2 linked regions of the Caenorhabditis elegans genome follow. The protein of the gene in region 2 interacts with the protein of the main gene of each other region in a pairwise test. Each region holds a gene or a part of one and is shown on either strand. Other genes may lie near its edges.

Region 1 (5,719 bases), on a different chromosome or scaffold from region 2:
CTAGGGATACTGAAGCTACGTACCGGTCGGTTCCTATAAAAATAATTAATTTTTTTAATCTTGCAATAGGTTGGTAGGTATGCATGTAAGCAGTCAGCTGTGAGCTTGGCACCTAGGCTGACACGTAGGAGCATAGTTATGGGAAAAGGAAGAGATAGTGGCGCGAGTGCTAAACGCTAAAGCTGACAACACTAAGATTGTGCATTAAATTTTAAAAAGCGAGCAGTCAGTTTTTTTTGATCGTAGAAGTTGGATAAATTACCTTTTTGTTGAATCATGACCATCCAGTGCTTGGAATAATTATTTTTCCATATGTCGTAGTCATTTTCCTAAAAGATCACATAAAGTGATTAAAGATTATTTTGTGATTTTCCTTGCATACTGTCCAAATTATAGTGAACGAAAATAAAATATTTTGTCGGTTAACAAAGTTTTTGAAAAGATTGAGGTGATAATAAAAATTTGGAACTGATGGGTGAAATAAGTTAGGCAAGTTATAAAGACATCTAAGTTCATACCTGAAATGCCCATCCTTCAGTAGTAGATACTAGATGCACAAACTCTTTGAATACATCATTTGGTGGATTGTAGGTCAAAATGAATTCATCGTCAATTATATCAACTTCTGTCATATTTATTTATCTGAAACTCAATTCGTAAGAAAACTTTGCGTACATGTTGAGAACAACGTCGGTGCAAAACTGGGAAGCGAAATGGAAGGGTCTCCTTATCGTTTTTCGCGACTTTTAGTCTGATGAAAAAAAAAAAAAAAAAAATTAATTACAAGTTTAGTATGATCGTTTTTATCAGTAAAAAAGGATGAAGAAACGGTACGGGGGTCGGTACAGATAATTTATTATTGTTTGAAAAATGTGAAAACGATGGAGTTCAGAAATTGAAGAAATCGGAAATCGAGTGGACATTAACCCAAAGGTACCTAACCAGAAAATGAGAAGAGATCTATGGAGATTCTAGAGTGGCAAGTTTTTGACACCAATAATAGGAATATCAGAAAAGGGTTCAATTTGCTTTGAATTTTAGAATAATTCGCACAATTTCAGCACTAATGAAATGTCCTAAAATTCAAATTCTCTGACAAACCTAAACAATTAATGAAAGAAATAAGGAACATTTTTGGAGACAAAAAACTGGGACAAAATCGAACCCGTTTGGTGTATATTTACAAATAAAAGGGGTAAATTAAAAACAAGAAGGAGAAAAATGATTGATAAGATAAATAATAATATTAACAATCAGAATCCAACATATCGTTTGCTCTTCTTTTTCACTGGTTGGGCAGCCGGTGCTCCATTATTCAATGGGTGTACAGTCCGATGCACAATCATGTGCCCTTGTTCTTCGTCTCCATCTCCACCGCTCCACCCTCCTGTCGATTCAGCAAATTTGTCGATTATCATTGAAATTGGGAATGCGAGCACAATGATTCCACACACTGAGGCCAAAGCAGCAACCACTTTTCCTCCAGCAGTTATAGGCACCAAATCACCATAGCCAACTGTGGTCATTGTTATGACACCTGAAAATAATTATATTAGTTTAAGAATAGGAAGCCCACGAGTAGTCATGGTACCGCATCTTGGTCTAACTTCTGGAATCCGTGGCACCACGTGTTTTTGCAAGATGGAAGTCACTACAGTTTTTTCAAATGAAGTATACAACAAAACGATTGTGAAGTCAAACTCACAAATCCACGTATTGGCACGGCTTTCAGAGGTTAAATCTAGATGAAAGCACTAACCGAACACTTCATAAACTTTTGAAATTTGCATTATTCTAGCAAAATTTCATTGTACTCTGCAGCCATAATCAAAATCCCATTAAAAAATTCACATAAAACAATTTCAGTCAAACTTTTGGTAAGTTACCAAAAATTTTGAGAAATTCGGCATTTTTGTGAAATGTACTGCAATTTTGCATTTTCGGATCTATATCATGTTTAGATACAAATAATCAAAAGATAAATATTTACCTATAAAATTTTTAAAATTGAATTTTGCAACTAAAAAAAAAAGAAAATAACATCAACACTTAAACTACATGTTTGGCATAATCTAAAATAGGAGTTGTATATTCATATTCAACTATAGTCATTTTTCCTAAATCCTTAAAATTTATTTTTGATGTTTCTGAAATGAGTTGCCCATCCGACGTAATTTCAAAATCAAGTAAAACAGTCTATCATACTAAATATATCATTTCACACTATGATTATCATAATATCTTATCTTTTGCAAAATAACAGTAAAGGTTTCAGACTTCAACCTTTTTATCAGTTTTAAAATTCAACGAAACACCAAGTATGTTTTCCATAATTTAGAAATTTCGAATAACATCGCTCCATTAATTGTTTGAAGTTTTCAAAGAACTTACACCACCAGCAGGCTGCTGGAATACTGTAGAACTTGGAGTTGGGCTCATCTCGCTCGAAGAAATAAATTGCAGTTGAGAACAGCATGATTCCTGTTAAATTTCAAGCATCAACATTTCATTCATTTTCACGGGTTAAAATTCATTTTCGTTTTTTCTGTTTTACAGTTTTCTAGCATACGAACAATAAAAAATTGACTCAGAGGAATTAGCTATAGCTGGATGTTCATATTTTTGGTATTAGCTGCAGCTTTACAACTTTGAAACAGTATAATTTCAACGGGAATATACTATGAAATTAAGGAAATATTACCTGTTACCAAAAACATTCCAAGCATACTGAGCTCTGCCGCAGACTTTTTCATTGTTTCTCCAAAGGCACGGAGACCAGTTGAGTACCTGGCGAGCTTGAAGATACGCGCTACACGGGCAAGTCTCATTACTCGAACCACAAGCATTGCACCTGTAATTTTTTTGGAATTTTAAGGGGCAAAATGTCATGATTATATACCTCTAAACTCTTTCATCCATTGCAATTCATTAAACGCTTCAATCATAAACGGCAACACAGTCAGCAAGTCAATAACGTTCAGTGGACTCCTAATAAATTCTGCTTTTTTCGGATTCACAAGGAGACGTGCAAGGTATTCAAATGTGAAGTACACCATACACCTGCAAACATTGTATTATAACTTCTGATATGTTCATACTAGACATACAATAATTCCAGCCAATGAAGGAGATAATGAGGTTCTTTATTTTCATCCTGCAGCTCTGGCATTGAGCTTAGGATTAGTCCGAGCAAGGAAAGAAGCACAAAAAGAGCTGATCCAACTGAGAATATTTTTGCACCAGAAGATGATCTCGGATTTTCCATTAATCTGTATAATTTTAGTCGTTGTGGTCCTAACACGACTTTATCAAAACATGAAGACGGTAATGAAGAATCAACAAATGCCTAAAATAAAAATAATTAACTTCAAATCATATATGGATACCTACTTTCTCAGTTGACATTTTCCCAGCTATATTGTTATTTTCTTCAAGAATACAGCATGGTGACATAAACGGCGTGGGAATTCTCCAATAGTCCAATTCATATCTCAATCGAATCGGACAAATATCCATTGGACGATGAAGTTTTCCAGTTACGTAGAAATCAATTACGTATTCAAAAATAATTGGCGATCTTTCAAAGTAGTACTCCGATGTGCTTTCAAAGAAGGCATCACAATCTGTCAGCCGTTCAACATGTGATTTTTCACAGAATACAGCAAGTCGTGATGTGGCAAGCCGTCTTATGATGATGTCCGAGTTGAGCCGAGCTCTACGTCCACCAACATTGACAAAAACAATGTCAGGAGGCCTAACAACTGATCCATTCGGTACAGGTCCTGCTACTGGTGACTCAATCAACGGGACCTCCTCATTCATTCCTGAAACTCCAAAATTTCCAGAATTGAAAAATAGATTTGGAGGTATGGGGAATTGAACCCCAGACTTCTCACATGCGAAGCGAGCGCTCTACCCCTGAGCTATACCCCCACGAAAAATTGCAATAAAAGTAACTGATAGAAAAGACAGAGACCTAGAGAGGCAAACATAATAGAGAAAAAGGCAGAGATGGCAGGCGAATGGCGCCAGTCTCTCCGGGGGCCAATCTGTGAGAGGGGCGCCAAGAAATTTCAAAATTTATGATTCTTGAAGGGGATTTTAAATTTTGAGTTAAAAAGGAGGCAGAAACTGGGTTGTAGGAATTGACGAATTTTCATGGACCAGCGAGCATTCGAATGGATGTTTCTGAACTTTGATATTTGGTGAAAAAGAAAAAAGTTTGATGATGTTTCATGAAAAAACAAAACACAGTCTCTTATTAAAATTGGAGTCCTATGTACCAATAAATATTGATCATTCGAATCAGACAAGTATCAAATCTCAGCTCTTGAGAAGCAGAAACTGGTGTATTTTTTATAGTTACAACTGAATGTTTCAGAAGTAATCTGCATAATATTATTGTTAGAAGTCTATTCCCAAGACAAAAACGTAGACTGGTCTCAGAAGAATCTTTCTGATCTATAGAAAAATCTGAAGTTTACAAGGTTATGTAAATTTGAACCAAGCGACAAAAAAACTTGCAGTGAACGATAACAGCGAAAGAAACTATTTTGATAAAATTACTATTCCTAGAAAATGTTTTTTTTATTTTTGGAATGCTTGAAACCAGGAAAACGCTACAAATACCAATGAAAAAAAACTGAAACAAATCTGCGCGTAGAATTTTTAAAAAATCCGCTTCAACCACTGTAAAGGCAATACATGTAACTTAACACATGAATTTTCAAGTTTTTGATGTATAATTTCAAAGGGATTTAAAAGAAAATATTCGAAAGAAAAAAATCCATTCGAAAAATTGATCACCTAAACTTTGAATTTGACGAACGTGAGCTTTGAGTATTCACTTGCAAAAACGAAGTTATGACGTGTCAGAATCTAAAATTGGTAAATAAAGTTCAGGAAGATGAATGAATGGGAGAAGAGAATTCTCAAAAAGCACGAATTCAAATATCTTAGCCTTGTGCTCTTCTTCTTATCCTTCAGAGGCGAAAATTGAGTTTCAAACATTCAGAAGATGGGGCAGGTGAAGAAGAAAGGAGACGAAGAAGAAGTTGTTGAAAAAGGCATACTCGAAAATAGAATTTCAAATCAAAAATGAGGCGCTTTTTGTTCGAACACTCAGGCGTCTGGGAATAAAAGAGTGAGATATCATCATGACGACTCACAATCACTCGTTATTATTCATTTGAAATAAATAGTCAAATAAATAGGAACATATGGGATTAACTCAACGATGAGGAAATTTTTTAATCTAAATTCCAGAACAATTGATGGGAAAGTTTTATAATATGTGCAGGCTGAATCACTTTAATAATTGGAAAATCCTTCTTCAAAATGTCTGAAAAAAATTCTGCGATGGAAATCCACTTTCAAAAAATGTTCACTATCAGAAGCAGACAGAACTCAAAAACACATATTTCAAATTTATTTGAAAAAAAGCGAATCATCGAAGTTCTTCACAAACATCGAGACTTTTCAAAACGAATTCTGGTTTCTAACGAGTAATCCTGTTAAAATTAAATTCTAGAAATTGAGAAAGAAGGATTTGAGAACGAAGAAAGGTACAATAAATTGAGTGAACGTGAGTTTCCATAAAATACAATTCTAGGTAATATACATAATATAAAGAGTTGTAGTAGGTAGACTTGTTATTTAAATTTTGTAGAACACAAGGCAGAAAATCTCTATTTGGAGGAGCTCGTGGGCGACAACAAAA
Region 2 (4,542 bases):
TGGTTAGATAAAAAAGAAAAGAAAAAAGTACCGAAAATGAAAGTGGCAAGTCTTCTCTAAATTATTTTAAATATAGAAATAAAATTAATTTTTAAAAAAAATTCCAGTTTCTAGAAGAGTTGGGGTAATTAAGTTGATTCTCAGTAAAAATGAACAACAAATCCTAAAAACTTGGAGAAATTGATGAATTATCATTGTAAAACGCAAGAACTGTGATTTTCCTGCAGATGTTATCAATCACGCAGTCTGCGTCTTTTGAAGACTAATTGCAAGTTGGTGAAGAATAAACGATGATTGTACCCCTTACAGAAAGAGAGAGAAATAGACGCAGATATCACGACGATATGTTAATAAGGTAGTTGCCGCATGTTTGAGTTTCGAGAATACAAGTTATACACGAAGCAACTATTCACCTGAATTTTCTTGTTTGCAGAAAAGATGATAGCTTTGACCGTTTTTGAAACTTCCGCGAAACGAAAAAAACGTTTCCCTCGTTTACACTGTTTTATAGAAGAATGCAGTTCAAACTTCTCGTTTCACAATTTGGCTTTTTTTTATTTATCAGTTTAACAATTTCATCAAAAAATTTCAAAAAATTAATATTAATTAATTGATCACATAATTAGTATCAACATTTCCTCCGCATAGGATGACTAGTGGACGTTTGATGTGAGCCGGTTTGTGGTAGAGAACTCCTGCAAATGCAAGTGCTGCAGTTGGTTCAATTCGTTGCTGAAAATAAAGATTAAGCAATGTTAATTTTCTGAAAGTAACCTTCATTCTTGTCCATATGAGTTTCAATCCTTCTTTGATCTCGTCTTCCTTCTGTAAAATAGTTTGTAGATATCATATATATATATGCTTTCATCTCCTTGTCACGTGGTTTCTACTTCAAAACTCACAATATTTTGCAGTACATAGGGTCTTGAATAGAAGTAACTCTAGTACTTTAATATTTACTCATATGTCAAGTAACATTAATTAGGTTTTTGTTTAATAATTCTCAAAATAAGCCAAAACTGAAATTCCATTTAAGAAAATCGAAAAAGAAACACAATTTCAACATTTAGTAACCTGAATTTTGAACACTGACTAATTCCACCGTTTGAACAGCCTCCCAAACAAGAAGCCACGCCCACTTTCGAACCAATCAGTGTCTTCGAACTCCCTACACTTCACCTGATCAGCATTTAAATACAAAAGCCCCAATGCACGCTGATCCACTTTTAACCTTCATATATTACACTTACCACACTGATAACTTTTTGTGCACAATACTGTTTGAGTATTGGTTCACAAAGCGGTCCAACTCTTGCTACACGAACTCCATCAGCAATTGTATCCAATGTGTCAACCGGACACTTAATTCCATTTTCCAGAAAGTTCGAAAGTTCTTTCTGTGCTGGTTGCACAAGGTATACTATAAATGTAGATATAGTAAAAACAAGTGACAATGTGATTTGACAAACCTTCGATGTCTGGCCTCAAGTTGCCTATCAGAAAAGCAACAGATGAAGCTAAACCACCACCTCCAACAGATAAAAAAATGGAATCAATCTCATTGCCAACCTGTTCCAGGATTTCAAATGCAACTGATGACTGTGTGGAAAAAGAATATTATTTAGTTGTTTTATTAATTGAAAACAACTTACATGTCCGTTGATCATTGAAACACAATTATAAGGTTCTACACAATAATACTCAAGTTTTTCAGTCAAATCAGCACATACAGATTCTCTGGAAACTGTAATTTATTTGTGAAGTTAGGCTGATAAAGAATTAGATTTTTTGTAAAAACCGGAAAGATAAAAATCAACTTTTTAAAATGCAAATTCCTATATTTTTCCAGATTGATTTCATCTAAAATGGAAATTGTGAGTCCAATCAGCGTTTTTCTCCGCCCAGTCTCGAACCAATTAGATGAAATGGGAAACGCGTTTTAAAGTAAAATCCCTAGTTTCTTATAAAATTTCTAGGCTCACCGACTAGTAACAGTTGGCTCACAGAAAACAATATTCGCATTGTATTCTCTCATTCCTTCAATTTTAGAAATTGGAGCATTTTTTGGAACGACAATTGTACAAGGAAGTCCGATTTTTTGAGCAGCCCACGCTAGAGCTTGCCCGTGATTTCCAGACGAATGGGCAATCTAAAAATTGAAATTTTTGGACTAAAACGTTTTCTAATAAAGATTCACTTATTCAGTTACAAGATTTAGTAAAACTTTCACCTATCTTCATTTCGGAAATCGACCAAAAATTTATCTTCTACAGAGTTTATGAAATTATTTCTTTTCAATTTATTGTATATTAACATTCTAGGAATTCGAACTTGCAGCAATGCTCGATAAATCCACATTTTTGAAAAAATTGGCAGTTTTTCAAAACTTTGACTGAAAATTTTGGAAAATATCAAAAAGTTTAAAATTTATGGAGCAACATCTGGGAATCAGATTGTAAAATTGAAAAAATATTTTTGCTCATATGAATCAAAAAAAAAACTTACCATTCCTTTTGCATTTTTCTCTTTTGCCAAAATAGCAGAATTCAGTGCTCCTCTGGCTTTGAAACTTCCAGTTTTTTGTAAATGTTCACATTTGAATAGAACATGTGTTCCATTTCCAACTTTTTCATCAATATTTTCACTTGTTATAACAAGTGTTTTATGAAGAAATGGAGCAGTTCTTTGATAAGCTGCTCTCATTTCTTCCATTGTTATTTTTGTAGTCATGGCTGAAAATTGGAAATACGAAAATGAAAAAAAATTAAGTTCACCGAATCAGAAATCAAAAAGCTAACTATCTTATCTTATCAACCACTGTTTGACCAAAAACTATTGTGAACTGTACAAGCAATTTATTGATTTTCTCAATTTAAAACAAATTAAAGGGAGCATTAGAAATTTAAAACATTCACAAAATCTTATCTCTGCATATAAGAGAATATGAATAAATGAAGAATTAGAAGGAAATAAATGATTCAATGCAGAAAATCCCGTATTTGGCTGAAAATTCTTTTGGATGCGCAATTTTAATCACAACATAGGCGATAGAGGATTTGGAAGGGATGAGTGTGATGAGTAAATAAAGTTAGTTATTGTTTGGATGAAATGAATGTAATTATGGAGTCAATAAATAGTTATTTAAATTGGTGATTGGGCTTCAATGAGGAGCATTTGTTGAAACAATTGGATAAATGTTAGTAGTATTTAAAAAAGAAAAAAGTAAAATCCGTGCGTAAAAATGAATCGATGTATTTACAAGTCGTCTCGACGGTACATTTTGGTGAGCGGTTGGCAAGAATTTGACATTGATCGGTCGGTTCTGCAACTTTATGGAAGGTCAAAGTGAATTTATAAGATGGCTGGTCTGCGTTGTCACGATAAGAGCCAGCGACATTGAAGAAAAAAAACGCACCATGCATTTGCTGACACATTCTTCGTGTAGTTGGCGTAAAGAATCTCCTTCATTCGTCGTTTCGCAAGTGCAGACGATCCAACTGGACGAAGTTGAACACTTGGAGCCGATGCGATTGCTTTATATGTCTGCTCAAGTGCAACCTGAAACTGATTTCACAATTAATTAAAACATGGCGCTCCGAATCCTCTTATTAGAAAACGAAACCGTATTGTAACTATTATGTATCGATATTCAAAACGGTTGAATTTTTGAGGAAAATTTTTTCGGATTTTGGGCAGAATACCTTTTTTGTTTTTTTTTAAGTAAAAAATCTCGTTATGTTTGAATTTTTAAATTATAATCGTTTTTCATGTGATACAAAAAAACCATCCAATTACCTTGACATTTTGCATATCAAGCTCTCCAACTTGTTCTGATTGAATTGGCCGATCCGGAAGTGCTTCCTTTTGTCCGATCCACTTATGTTGCAATGCTTGTTTTGCTGTGACTCTTCTATTTGGATCGACATCTAACATCTTTCTTACAAGATCCTTTGCTTCATCGGAAATTGTGTCCCAAACTGGATGTGTCATTGAAATCTTTCCATCTCCAACACGTTGTAATATCTGATCAGGTGTATCATTTGGACCCATCGCGAACGGAGTGCAGCCGGTGAGCATTGTGTGAAGTAGAACTCCAAGGGACCAGACATCACAAGAACGATCGTATCCTTGTTTGCGAAGAACTTCCGGAGCCACCTAGAATTTTAAACTGTCTAAGAACTGCATATAAATCTTATAAACTTACAAATTGAGCAGTGTAACATGGAGTCATGAGCATTCCATTTTCTGCTCTCGATTGCTTGGCAAACCCAAAATCAACAATTCTCAACGAACTTGGATCTCCGTCCTTTAAAGCGAAAAGAATATTTGCAGCTGTCAGATCACGATGAGCAACTTGTTGGGAGTGCAGATATTGAACTGCGTTCAAAAGATTTGCCATAATAGCGGCAACTTCCTTCTCGCTTCCCAACGACTTCTTGTTCACAAGTCTGAAATTTTGAATTTAGTTTCTTTTAAAAACTATTTTATTTTAAACTGACTTGTCCAAAAGTTCTCCTCCTTCACACAACTCTTCAATCATGT

The links.
Region 1: the proteins of serr-1 (region 2) and kvs-3 interact in a two-hybrid assay, tested with the Caenorhabditis elegans proteins (one large-scale study listed by BioGRID).

Annotation. Positions count from the first base shown.
Region 1 is NC_003283.11:9,316,416-9,322,134, reverse strand, and holds kvs-3 (BTB domain-containing protein), read right to left. Parts: upstream 3,825-5,719; 5' UTR 3,823-3,824; coding exon 3,391-3,822; intron 3,347-3,390; coding exon 3,108-3,346; intron 3,061-3,107; coding exon 2,900-3,060; intron 2,852-2,899; coding exon 2,702-2,851; intron 2,482-2,701; coding exon 2,392-2,481; intron 1,538-2,391; coding exon 1,254-1,537; 3' UTR 788-1,253; downstream 1-787. Other genes in the region: F44A2.7 (N-acetyltransferase domain-containing protein), read right to left, coding at 1-33, 263-329, 519-632.
Region 2 is NC_003279.8:8,571,018-8,575,559, forward strand, and holds serr-1 (Serine racemase), read right to left. Parts: upstream 2,733-4,542; 5' UTR 2,731-2,732; coding exon 2,506-2,730; intron 2,150-2,505; coding exon 1,983-2,149; intron 1,738-1,982; coding exon 1,653-1,737; intron 1,600-1,652; coding exon 1,470-1,599; intron 1,421-1,469; coding exon 1,251-1,420; intron 826-1,250; coding exon 775-825; intron 733-774; coding exon 607-732; 3' UTR 539-606; downstream 1-538. Other genes in the region: rskn-1 (Ribosomal protein S6 kinase), read right to left, coding at 3,256-3,328, 3,416-3,564, 3,796-4,155, 4,205-4,448, 4,500-4,542.